2 linked regions of the Drosophila melanogaster genome follow. The protein of the gene in region 1 purifies or fractionates together with the protein of each later gene. This does not show direct contact. Each region holds a gene or a part of one and is shown in the gene's direction. Other genes may lie near its edges. The genes, in order: CG13323 and CG10916.

Region 1 (5,053 bases):
TATGGAATCAATCAATAAAGAAAGAGTTCTAAGCAATATTATTTTATTTAATTAAAGGAATGGTTAACACAGGGTATCAAAGTATAAGCAAAATAAGTATAAACAAAGATCAAAAGATCTTTTTAGATAAAACCCTGCGCTTGTTGTTTTTTTTTCTGGTTAGGTTCTTATCGTTATGTTACTGCTTACCAGACTTGCTAGAATTGCACGTATATAGAAAATTTACAAACATTTGCACCTTTAATTCGAAACCTAATTCTGTTAGATACAACTTTTTCTTGTAGTGTATGTCTTTCATGTTCGGGTGAGTCCACAACAAATTGCTTATCAAGCGAGCGCATGTAGCAGCCAAACTGAAATGGGGGGGCCCAGCAAGGCCAAAAGCAGCCCTTAATTTGGCCAATTTAAAAATGGAAATCGATTCCCCCGAGAGTCGGCGATGTGTCAATAAAATGTGATTAACAAGTTGCTGCACAAAATGCCAGCACAGACTGCAATCGGATAATGGCAATGGCAGTGGGTACAAAATGCTTCGCCGACATTCCCTCAGGCATTTCTGGCTGCTTTGTATCTTTCAGTTGTCATTGTGGGGTTCCTTTTCGGTTTTTTGTTCTTTTTTTTAGGGGGTGGTGGGTGGAGGGGTGGGGGGTAGCAAACATCCTGGGAGCGTGGCGAATTATCCCTTTCATAAGTGACAAATACGTCCACCCTCATCAGCCACGGCTGCTGCAAGTAATGAGATTTTATTCCAAACCAAGTGACTGCTAGCCGTGGTAATTCGCAATAAATATGCAGCCAGGATGAGACCAGCAGCTCGATTTGTGTGTCAGGCGATAAGGATGCCACCCCCCAAGGATCGCGGTGGAGCTGTGATTCCACGAATGCATTCCGTAGCAGATTAACCAACTCCACGAACGCAATGCCACCGGCATGAATGGAATAATCTCTGGACTTAATTAAAGTAGCTGCGAGTTCCAGTTCAAACAATGCTAATGACAGCAGGCAGCTTAAGTTGGATTACATTAGGGATGATTAAAAGTTCGCTATTCGACACTTTTGTGGGCAAAAGGCGATGCGTCGTGAGGAATGTCCGACGTAATCATGGCTTAAATCGACAGACACTTGTCTTGGCCATGTTATAATTTCAATGAATTCTCCATCAGCCAAGCCTTATGTTGCTCGTATAACTCACAATTTAATTACTTAGCCATAATTTAATTGCTTATGCATTCACATTCCTCTCTAGTTGATTAATCAATATACAAAACTATTGACAGCTTCAGAAAGTTTGGTTCGTTGCCAATTTGCATATATTGGCTTACATTAGATTATGGATTATTTATAGAGCAAAGCATTTCGATTTTGTTTGCCAAACTAATGAGTGAAAATTTGTCAGTGCAAGCCACTTGATGAGAGTTTCGAGGAAAATCAATTTCTGACTAATAACTGAATGTATCGCATTCGATTGTTTTTTCTATGGAAAACTTTGATTAGATGGCCCTCGGTAACTTTAGAAGTCCGAGTGCTACCAATCAAGACCCAGTATCTATAAGTTGAAATCTGCAGCTGAGATTTCTTTCCGATCTTCAATTCCTGTATGGAGGGCTTAGCGTTCGGTGATAAGCCCGCCAAATCTTTTCCTAGAAGGCTGGCCAAAAACTTTAGAAGCCACCTTGTTTTGCACAACCGCTGGCGTGAGTCAGGTAATCTTATCGCGGCCACTTGATTGCCGGGGGGTTTCGTATACCTTACTTTCGTTTCGCGCTATTGGGCCTTTTTTGCCAGACTCTCGCCCCCATGCCCCACCTCATGGGCTGCGATAAGTCCGCCCTGTAACAGAAGTTAATTAAAAGCGAAGCGCTTTTGTAAACATTGCCTTAGTCATGCGAAGCGATATAAAAGCTTGGCCATTCGCAGCAGTTACTATCAAACGATACAAGAACGTCGAAACGAAACATTCAACATGCGTCTTCTGCTCATCCTCTCAGTTGTCCTGGCCGTGATCCTTGGCTGCCACGCCTACGGCGCCACCTGGGGGCGTCGCAATAACAACGACTACCTGCTGTCCCGCACCACGGAAGTCCGCAATCCGATCAAGAACAACTACTGGAACGTGAACGTGAACTATCCCGCCGGATTCTACAACATCTCCGCCGTGATCGTCTACGACAACTTTAAGAACAACTCCGGCGCATCTCCTAGCCTCTATTCCGGCGGTCCGGGCTATCGCTTCGCCACCGTGAATCTTCGTGGTCAGGTGAACCGCGGAATCAACTCCACCGTCGAGATCTGGGGTCGTTAAGTGATCAAACGAATCTGTTATAACCGACTGAAAGTCGCTGGGATATCAACTGAAACATGTTTCTTACGCAACTCAAAGCTAAATCCTCAATCTTAACAAATAAAAGAATACAGTAAAATACATACATATATATGGCAGTATTAAACAAGGCGCTTTTTTCATTAATTGCAAAAACCTTAAACCAACAGCTTTTAATACCAATAAGACTGTGTTTCTGAAGTAAACAAAATAATTTCCGGCTTACCCACGTGTATCTAATCAGTTAAAAAAGCAAGTTCACTTTTTTATTAACAAATGGCTTATAAGTAAATATAAAAGGCGGAATTGATATGTAAAAAAAAGGCAATTATCAAGATAAAGTAGACATGATAGTAAATATTTAATAACAAAAAAGTTTGCCCTTAACAGTTCAGTGCACAAAGTGAAAATCGCCAAGAGTCTATCATATTCAAACATAAATCGGTGGTTATCTTTATCAGTGTGTGCTGTCAATGGGAATAGCATATTGATGTATCTATATCTGCCGGACTTTGCATAATCGCATATTAGCCTTGGGCCAATCCCCAAAAACTCCGTGCAAGTTTAGAATTTTCCCTTGGATTCTGCCCGGCACAAAGGATGAAAGTGGAGCGCCCGAGGAAACTTTTCCTTTTTGCCCGCCAGAGGCATAGTCATCTAGCAAAGGAAAACATTCAATATTTAATAAACATCAGTGAGTGTGTGTAGGTGTGTGTGTTGGCAAGAGTAAATCGAAATTAAGGCTGGGTATAGGACTACTGGCCACAAATCCTGTGAGGCCCAGACAGACTGTTAAAAGGGCTAGAGGGCTTAGCCAGCACAAAAAGAAAAAAAAAAAAGATGCCAAAGAAAAAGAGGGAAACTGGAGCCCAGCGAAGGGGCGACAGACTTATTGGCCTTGGCTCATTTGATTCCCGGGGATGGTGTAAAATTTGTATTTCGAATTGCCAAAAGCAGCCCCAAAAAAAAAACCGAAGGGGGGTCGATATGTTAAGCTGCACGGTCAAAAGGATGTGCCGCAGTCCCTTTTCTCTTTTCTCCGCTTTCCTATTTCCGTAGTTTATGTATCGAATTTAAATTTCAATTTTAAACGTCTTGAGGCTACAGATTCGGATAGCTACCTCCCATCCGCCATTCGAGGTGGCGGTAAACATTTGCACAGGGTGCACAAATGTTTGAAAAGTTGTCAACGAAAATGTTTCACTTAGTTAATATGCAAAGCGCGGCCGTTCGGCTGCGATGCAAAGCCCCGGATCCGGATATGTTTACGGATACGGCCACGGCTTCGACTACGGCTACGGATACAGCTGGCGGTTGTGATTCATCCCCCCCCCCCCCCCGCCAAAGGGAAAGTCGTTCGATAAAAAATTGCCCCCCAAAAAGTCACGTAACTGCAGCAGCAGAGAGAGAAAAGCAGCAGCAGGAGATGGTGCATCCGAATTCGATTTGTCCTGCTGCTCTGTGTGCTGTGTGCTAACTTTAAGAACTGCCAAATGCGACTGCCGAATTTCGCTTCCGGGCGCATTCACTTGACATTCCTCATACGCCGCGTGGCCGTCACAACGAAATGCCCAACGTAAGCCGCTTGCCGGCTAAGCTGACCACTACATCGGTGTCCCCGGGTAACCAGCCTGCCACACACACACACACACACACACACTCCCCCACTTCGGCACTCATCCAGACGCCAGGACCTTGTGTCCTGCCAGCTCCACTTACCCCTCTTCCCCCTTTCCCATCTAGCCATCAGCGGCAACAGCTTGCCGAGCAATTACTTCGGACTGCCCGGAAATGTCGACCGAAAACCAGCAGCGACAGCAATGGCAGCTGCTTGGAACAGCTCCTGCCGGAACCCCACCGCCTTCGGTCTTCCCCCACGCCCCCACTCGCTTTTGGGGGTGTGGCATATGTCTGGCGCTGCAAGGACAAGCGTCGGCATCTGCTTACACTGGCCGCTGTGGCTGTGGAACATCGAAAATACCCGCCTCAAATGGGATTTCAATTAGCAGCAACTGTCTCACACCAGCCGGCGATTGTGTTGTCCAGTGTTGCGGCTCACCCTGCCACGTGGACAGGACACTGCCGGGGTGCACAGATAAAAATGAAGTCCAAATGGGGTCCTATCATTACAACCTCTTTTGCAGGTTAAAGATAGTAACTTGAACTGGTTTAACTATCTTAATGGCAGTGAAATATAAAAGGGAGCACTATTTTAATATTGAATTTAGTGAATTTATACCTTGCAGGCATATAAGTTGATTATTAAATTGACTTTAAACTTATAAACTTTTTTATATATATTAAATAAATACTTTTAAATCTTCAAAGAGAAATATGAAAAGTGCAATTTTGTTAAAATGAAATACCTGTCGCCCGAGGGATATGTTTTCGTGTATGTATAGGTAAGCTAAAAAAATATTATTTTCATAAGATGACACATGTTTTCTTGCAGTGTGGCCGGGGTTTGTGGCAGGTGGTGTCCTAGGGACACGACATAAAAGGGTGTCGGACAGGCTGTTAAGGCTGCTGAAATTGCTGATTTGCTGTTGCTGGCGTTGTCGCCGTCCATTGCGATTACGTTGGCCGGCGGTGGCCAGCAGCATTGATTTTTAATAAATAGCAATTTGGCAAACCAATCTGAGCTGTGATTATTTTAGCTGGCAGGTGGAAAAAGCATTTCAAATGTGCAGCGGACAAGGCCAAAAGGCTGCAGCTAATGTGCATCCCGCACAC
Region 2 (4,808 bases), 5.1 Mb from region 1:
GAAGAGAGCGCAGGAAGAGAGTTCCAGGAAATCGCAAGAATTCCCTAATTCTTTTTCTTTAGAATATGCACGAATATACATACATATATAATGATTTTATTTGTTTAAACGTTCGTAACTTAATTATTCAAAACATATTTAAGCAATACTGCAAATGAATACATATAGTGAAATAAATGAGGGGAATCCTCGAAACGCATGATGCAATATTTGCGTCAATTATGTGCATATCTCAAAAGAGGGGCTTGGAAGAAGACACAAGAGAGCCAAAGATAGAGAGTTTAATTAGCCGTTCTAATAATTTCGTTTAATAGTGAAATGGCCATTGTACATACATACATATATCTATGGCAAAGCACAATAAACAATGATAATGACAAGGCTATTCAACCGTTTATTTTTTGTTAGAAACAGCTGATTGCCGTTTTGTATTTGTTTATATAATAAAGCTTTGTTGACGTACGCAAAGCACAGCTGAAAAGCAACAAATGGCATAATCTCGTACGCATTTTTTGGCGTTTATTTATAGGCGGCAAACAAAGAGCGCAGTTAATGCGTCAGTGTGTGTGCCAAACATAGATATGTACTATGTACTTGCGTACATATGTATGTATTGTTTGTATTTTGGCAAACCAAAACAAACAGAAAATTTGCATATTATGCGCACATTAACTTGTTTCCATTGGAGTGGCGGCAAGTTTGGGAAACATAATTTGAGCCATTGAGAAACCGCACTAGCTGTAAATCAGCTGAATATCCATTTGTAGTTGTATGTTGAACTTAGCAATTAAAAGTGAAAGGATACGGGTGAACGCAGAAAAAGAAACGGGTATCTGGTCCTTGGCACTTACAGTTCATGCAGCCTTTTGTGCTCCTCTTCTCCGTCTGGTGTTTGTCCCTATATCTTTTCGGATTTATTGCGAATTGTACATAATTTGTTTAGCTTTTCCCGTAAAATTGTTTTCCGTGTCCCGAAGCCACGTACCGCGCGTCGTTGCCAGATCGGTTGAGTATCGTAAGTACCTGGTGCCACTTATCGATAGCTAATTTTAAATATTTATAAATTCTTGTGTTAAAAATGACCTGAACAGTATTTGAAACTATTATTGAGCACAGGTGAACCTTTTATTAGTTTTTAGCTATAAAATCCAAATTTATTATATATATACATTACATATTTGACTTCCTGATTATGAAATACATTTGTTTAACAACTGGCATACACTTTAATTAGTCTATTTAGTAAAAATCTATAACAAAATAAAACAAAATTGTTCTGAAACCTTGAGACCTAAATATTAGCAAAAAGTTTGAAATTAAATGTTATAAGCGTTTGAGATCCATGTAAACTTACGAAATATAAAAATAACAGTATTTCTGGCACTACTTAAAGTCCATCTCTATAAAGCTCGTATCCGTTAATTTTAAAATAAAACAAGTGCGCCATACGTATTTAAAGCTCAGTGTGTAAAGGGATTCAGATATGGATGGTAACAGCAAAGAAATGGAAAATTGAGAAGCACCCACAAATGACCCATCGCCATACCGGATTCGGAAACTAATTCCCGAACAGACAATGGGCCACAGGTGCATTCACGACGAACTTGTTCGCAGAAGTACCCGGTTAAAAGCCTGTCCTCTGACTCACAAGAATAACAGGGATTTTCCCGAGCACCCTCTGCTCATGAATCTGGACAGAGACAGCTTATCGGATGCCCACCTGCCGCCCGAGGAAGCAGTGCAGTGCGGCACTAACGAGGACGGACATCATGCGTCTGGGCAAGGTACATTCTTCCCATAAGGTCATGTACATCCCGCAGCACGGTCAAGAGGTTAACGTTGGCACCAACGAAGTACTGGTGCAGGTTTGAAACGCTACTTTAATACAAAGTAAAGATCCAGTAGATAACCACAAAATGATAGCACAGTACATTATCTTAGCCAAAATAGAGTTATGATTAAGACGCTAATATAAATGTTACTTAATATAAATGTTACTTACTTAATGCTATAAGATATTTAAAGGATTATTTTCAATCAAGATTCAAACTTATTAAAATAACAGTATTTCTAGTATATTTGGTATTCTCCAGAGGTCATCTCTAATAAAGCAGGAAAGTTGATACGAATCGTTTCGTTTTCCGCTCATTGTTGTGAAATAAATTTGGAACAGAAGAATAGAGCCACACATATTCAAAGCTCAGTATCCATAGGGACGTAGTTATGGAGAGTAATAGTAGTGAAATGGAAGGTAACGGCGGAAAAATCGCAGAAACTGCACCCACAAATGACTCATCACCTTCACTGAACATTTTATGTGCAATTTGCAACGAGTTTTTCCGGGCCAACGACATAATTTTCTCAACTTCACGGTGCGGTCATGTATTCCACAAGGACTGCCTCACCCGATGGCTGAATAGGTCCAGGACCTGCCCCCAATGCAGAGACCCATGCGACCGACGACGCGTGCACCGATTGTACCTAAACTTCGCCGAGGCCCCGGAGTTCGATGACACCGAATTGCCCAAGGTGGCCATGGATTGGGTGCCCATTGATCTGGACAGAGACAGCTTACCGGATGCCCACCTGCCGCCCGAGGGAGCTGTGCAGTGTGGCACCAACGAAGACGGACTGCCCACGTATGTGGCCAGAGGATATTACCACGACGATCTCCTGCCTGCTCCTTATGTACCGGAAAAGAAGGCTGCCTTCGGTTCGCACAGCTGTAGCGCCCGAACTCTGACCGATGATGTCGAGATCCTGGTGCTCAACGACTGTGACTACAAGTGGGTGCCCGGACAGCATGGAACATATCCGCGGGATGCTCTGAACACGGGCTACTCCGAGCTGGGTGAGGTCACCTACACGGGTCGTGGTCTTTACCAGGGTATCCTGCGTCTGGGCAAGGTGCATCCTTCCCACAAGGTCATGTACATCCCGCATCATGGTCAAGAGGTGAGCGTAAACACCTACGAAGTCCTGGTGGTCACCCCACGTGACCAGGCAGATCGATGATGCTGCTGATATCTTAAATCTCTTATGCCTTATTGTATGAATCTGTGTTATAAATACATATGTACGTCTTATTCTATTTTTGAAAAAAATCGGATCTATTATTTCTGTACTTGTTTTAAATTCGCTTATCAGTAAGCCAAGATTTGTCCCCAATTTCTTTAATCAAGCGAAAAATTGATAACTTTGTTTTGACTGCCAGCAAATTATGTACAAATAAAAGTCCCCATATACATATGTATAAGTTAGTCTGCTATTTGCTGCCCTCAAGTATGCAATTCTTTATAATAGTTTGGAAAGTGAAGATGTTTGTGACTAGACACGGGTTTAAAAATATTTTGACCTTGACTTGATCAATGCCTACGATAAACGGAAATCTTGGTTTTTTGTATATTGTATCTAAAACGGACCAACTGTCTTCAAAATGGCAAGATTAATAAAAACTGCGGTCTTAAAGCTTTCTTACTATCGCTTTTGTAAAGTATGCACAACCGAGAGTTGCCCACAGAAGTTCTGGAAAGTGGAAACGCAGAAGACGAGGGGAGTCACCCACAAGGATTCGGAAAATACATTCATCCAATCAGGTGATGTAAATACGGAGGTAAGACTATGACATTCTGCTGGTGATTTCAAAAGTTTTCAAAAGAATTTGTTTTAATGTTTGATTAATGATAATGCAATTTTTTTGTTTTATTAAAAATGTGTTAGACGCTATTTATATGCTGATTAGTGTTTTGAACCTACGCATGTTGCGAACATATTGATTATACCTAAACAAAGAGGTTTAAGTATCTATATAAGACTACTCGTATAACTCTACAATTCATGTTTTTCTCTGCACTCCGGCTTGGCTTTGTTGTTCCAACAGAGGGCCTCACAAAATTTGCTTTAAAAATACGTAAGCTTGTATAATTCGTTTAATAAATCGGCTGAACCTGCACTATAACATGACATTTAATATATAAGTATATATTTAGCTAAAAATACAAATTTTTATATGTTCAACATGCTTTTAACATTTCACCAACAGGCGTTTTACTTTTCAATAGAAATAGGATTATTTTTGTTTTTTCATTGACTTTGTACTTAGTTTCTAAGCAATTTGTATATATAAATATAAAAATGAGTGTGTGTGACTGTATTTTGTGTGGGAGTGTTTATGTGGCGTGGTTGTGTGGGACTACACAAGACATTCATATATATATAATTGGTATTTACAAATTTAGTGGCTCCAATGTGTAATGCATGCATGCTTAATATTCTTTAAGCCTGGATTTGAGATGGATTTGTTTTGTGATTGGTCTAAATTGTTTTGTATTGGTTTAACATTTGAGCTCAGTTGAAGACAAAATAATGTGAAAACAGTCTACGTGGATATACACATCCATTAGGAAACATATACGAAGGCGAAACAAATAACTTCTAAACGGACTTCAAAAACAATTTTCGTACATGTGGATGACTTCGTAAAGTGTATAAACTCATTTCTGGGCCGACAAATAGTTCATGTACTGAGTGGTCTGCTGGGCATTCCGCACCAGCTCGCTTTCCTCCTTTCCGGATGGTGGTTGGCCCTTATCCGCCTGCCCCTGCCAGTTCTCCTCGTTCTGCGGCTGATGGATGTCTGGCTGGGAGCGGCGTGTGAAATGGCGGTGCCGCTGGTGCTGATGCTGATGTGGATTTTGTGGCGATGTCTGTTGGCGACGATCAAACGAGCTGGACGCTTCGCTGGCCAAACTGCTTTGGCTGCTGTAACGCGGGAATCGAGGACCACCGCCTGCATGCGTGGGGCTCTG

Evidence for each region.
Region 2: the proteins of CG13323 (region 1) and CG10916 purify together in Drosophila melanogaster (affinity purification with mass spectrometry, with the first as the bait; one large-scale study listed by BioGRID). This does not show direct contact.

What each region holds. Positions count from the first base shown.
Region 1 is NT_033778.4:13,044,127-13,049,179, reverse strand, and holds CG13323 (uncharacterized protein), read left to right. Parts: upstream 1-1,923; 5' UTR 1,924-1,963; coding exon 1,964-2,302; 3' UTR 2,303-4,485; downstream 4,486-5,053.
Region 2 is NT_033778.4:18,171,587-18,176,394, forward strand, and holds CG10916 (uncharacterized protein), read left to right. Parts: upstream 1-2,082; 5' UTR 2,083-2,223; coding exon 2,224-3,015; 3' UTR 3,016-4,139; downstream 4,140-4,808. Other genes in the region: CG5726 (uncharacterized protein), read right to left, coding at 4,494-4,808.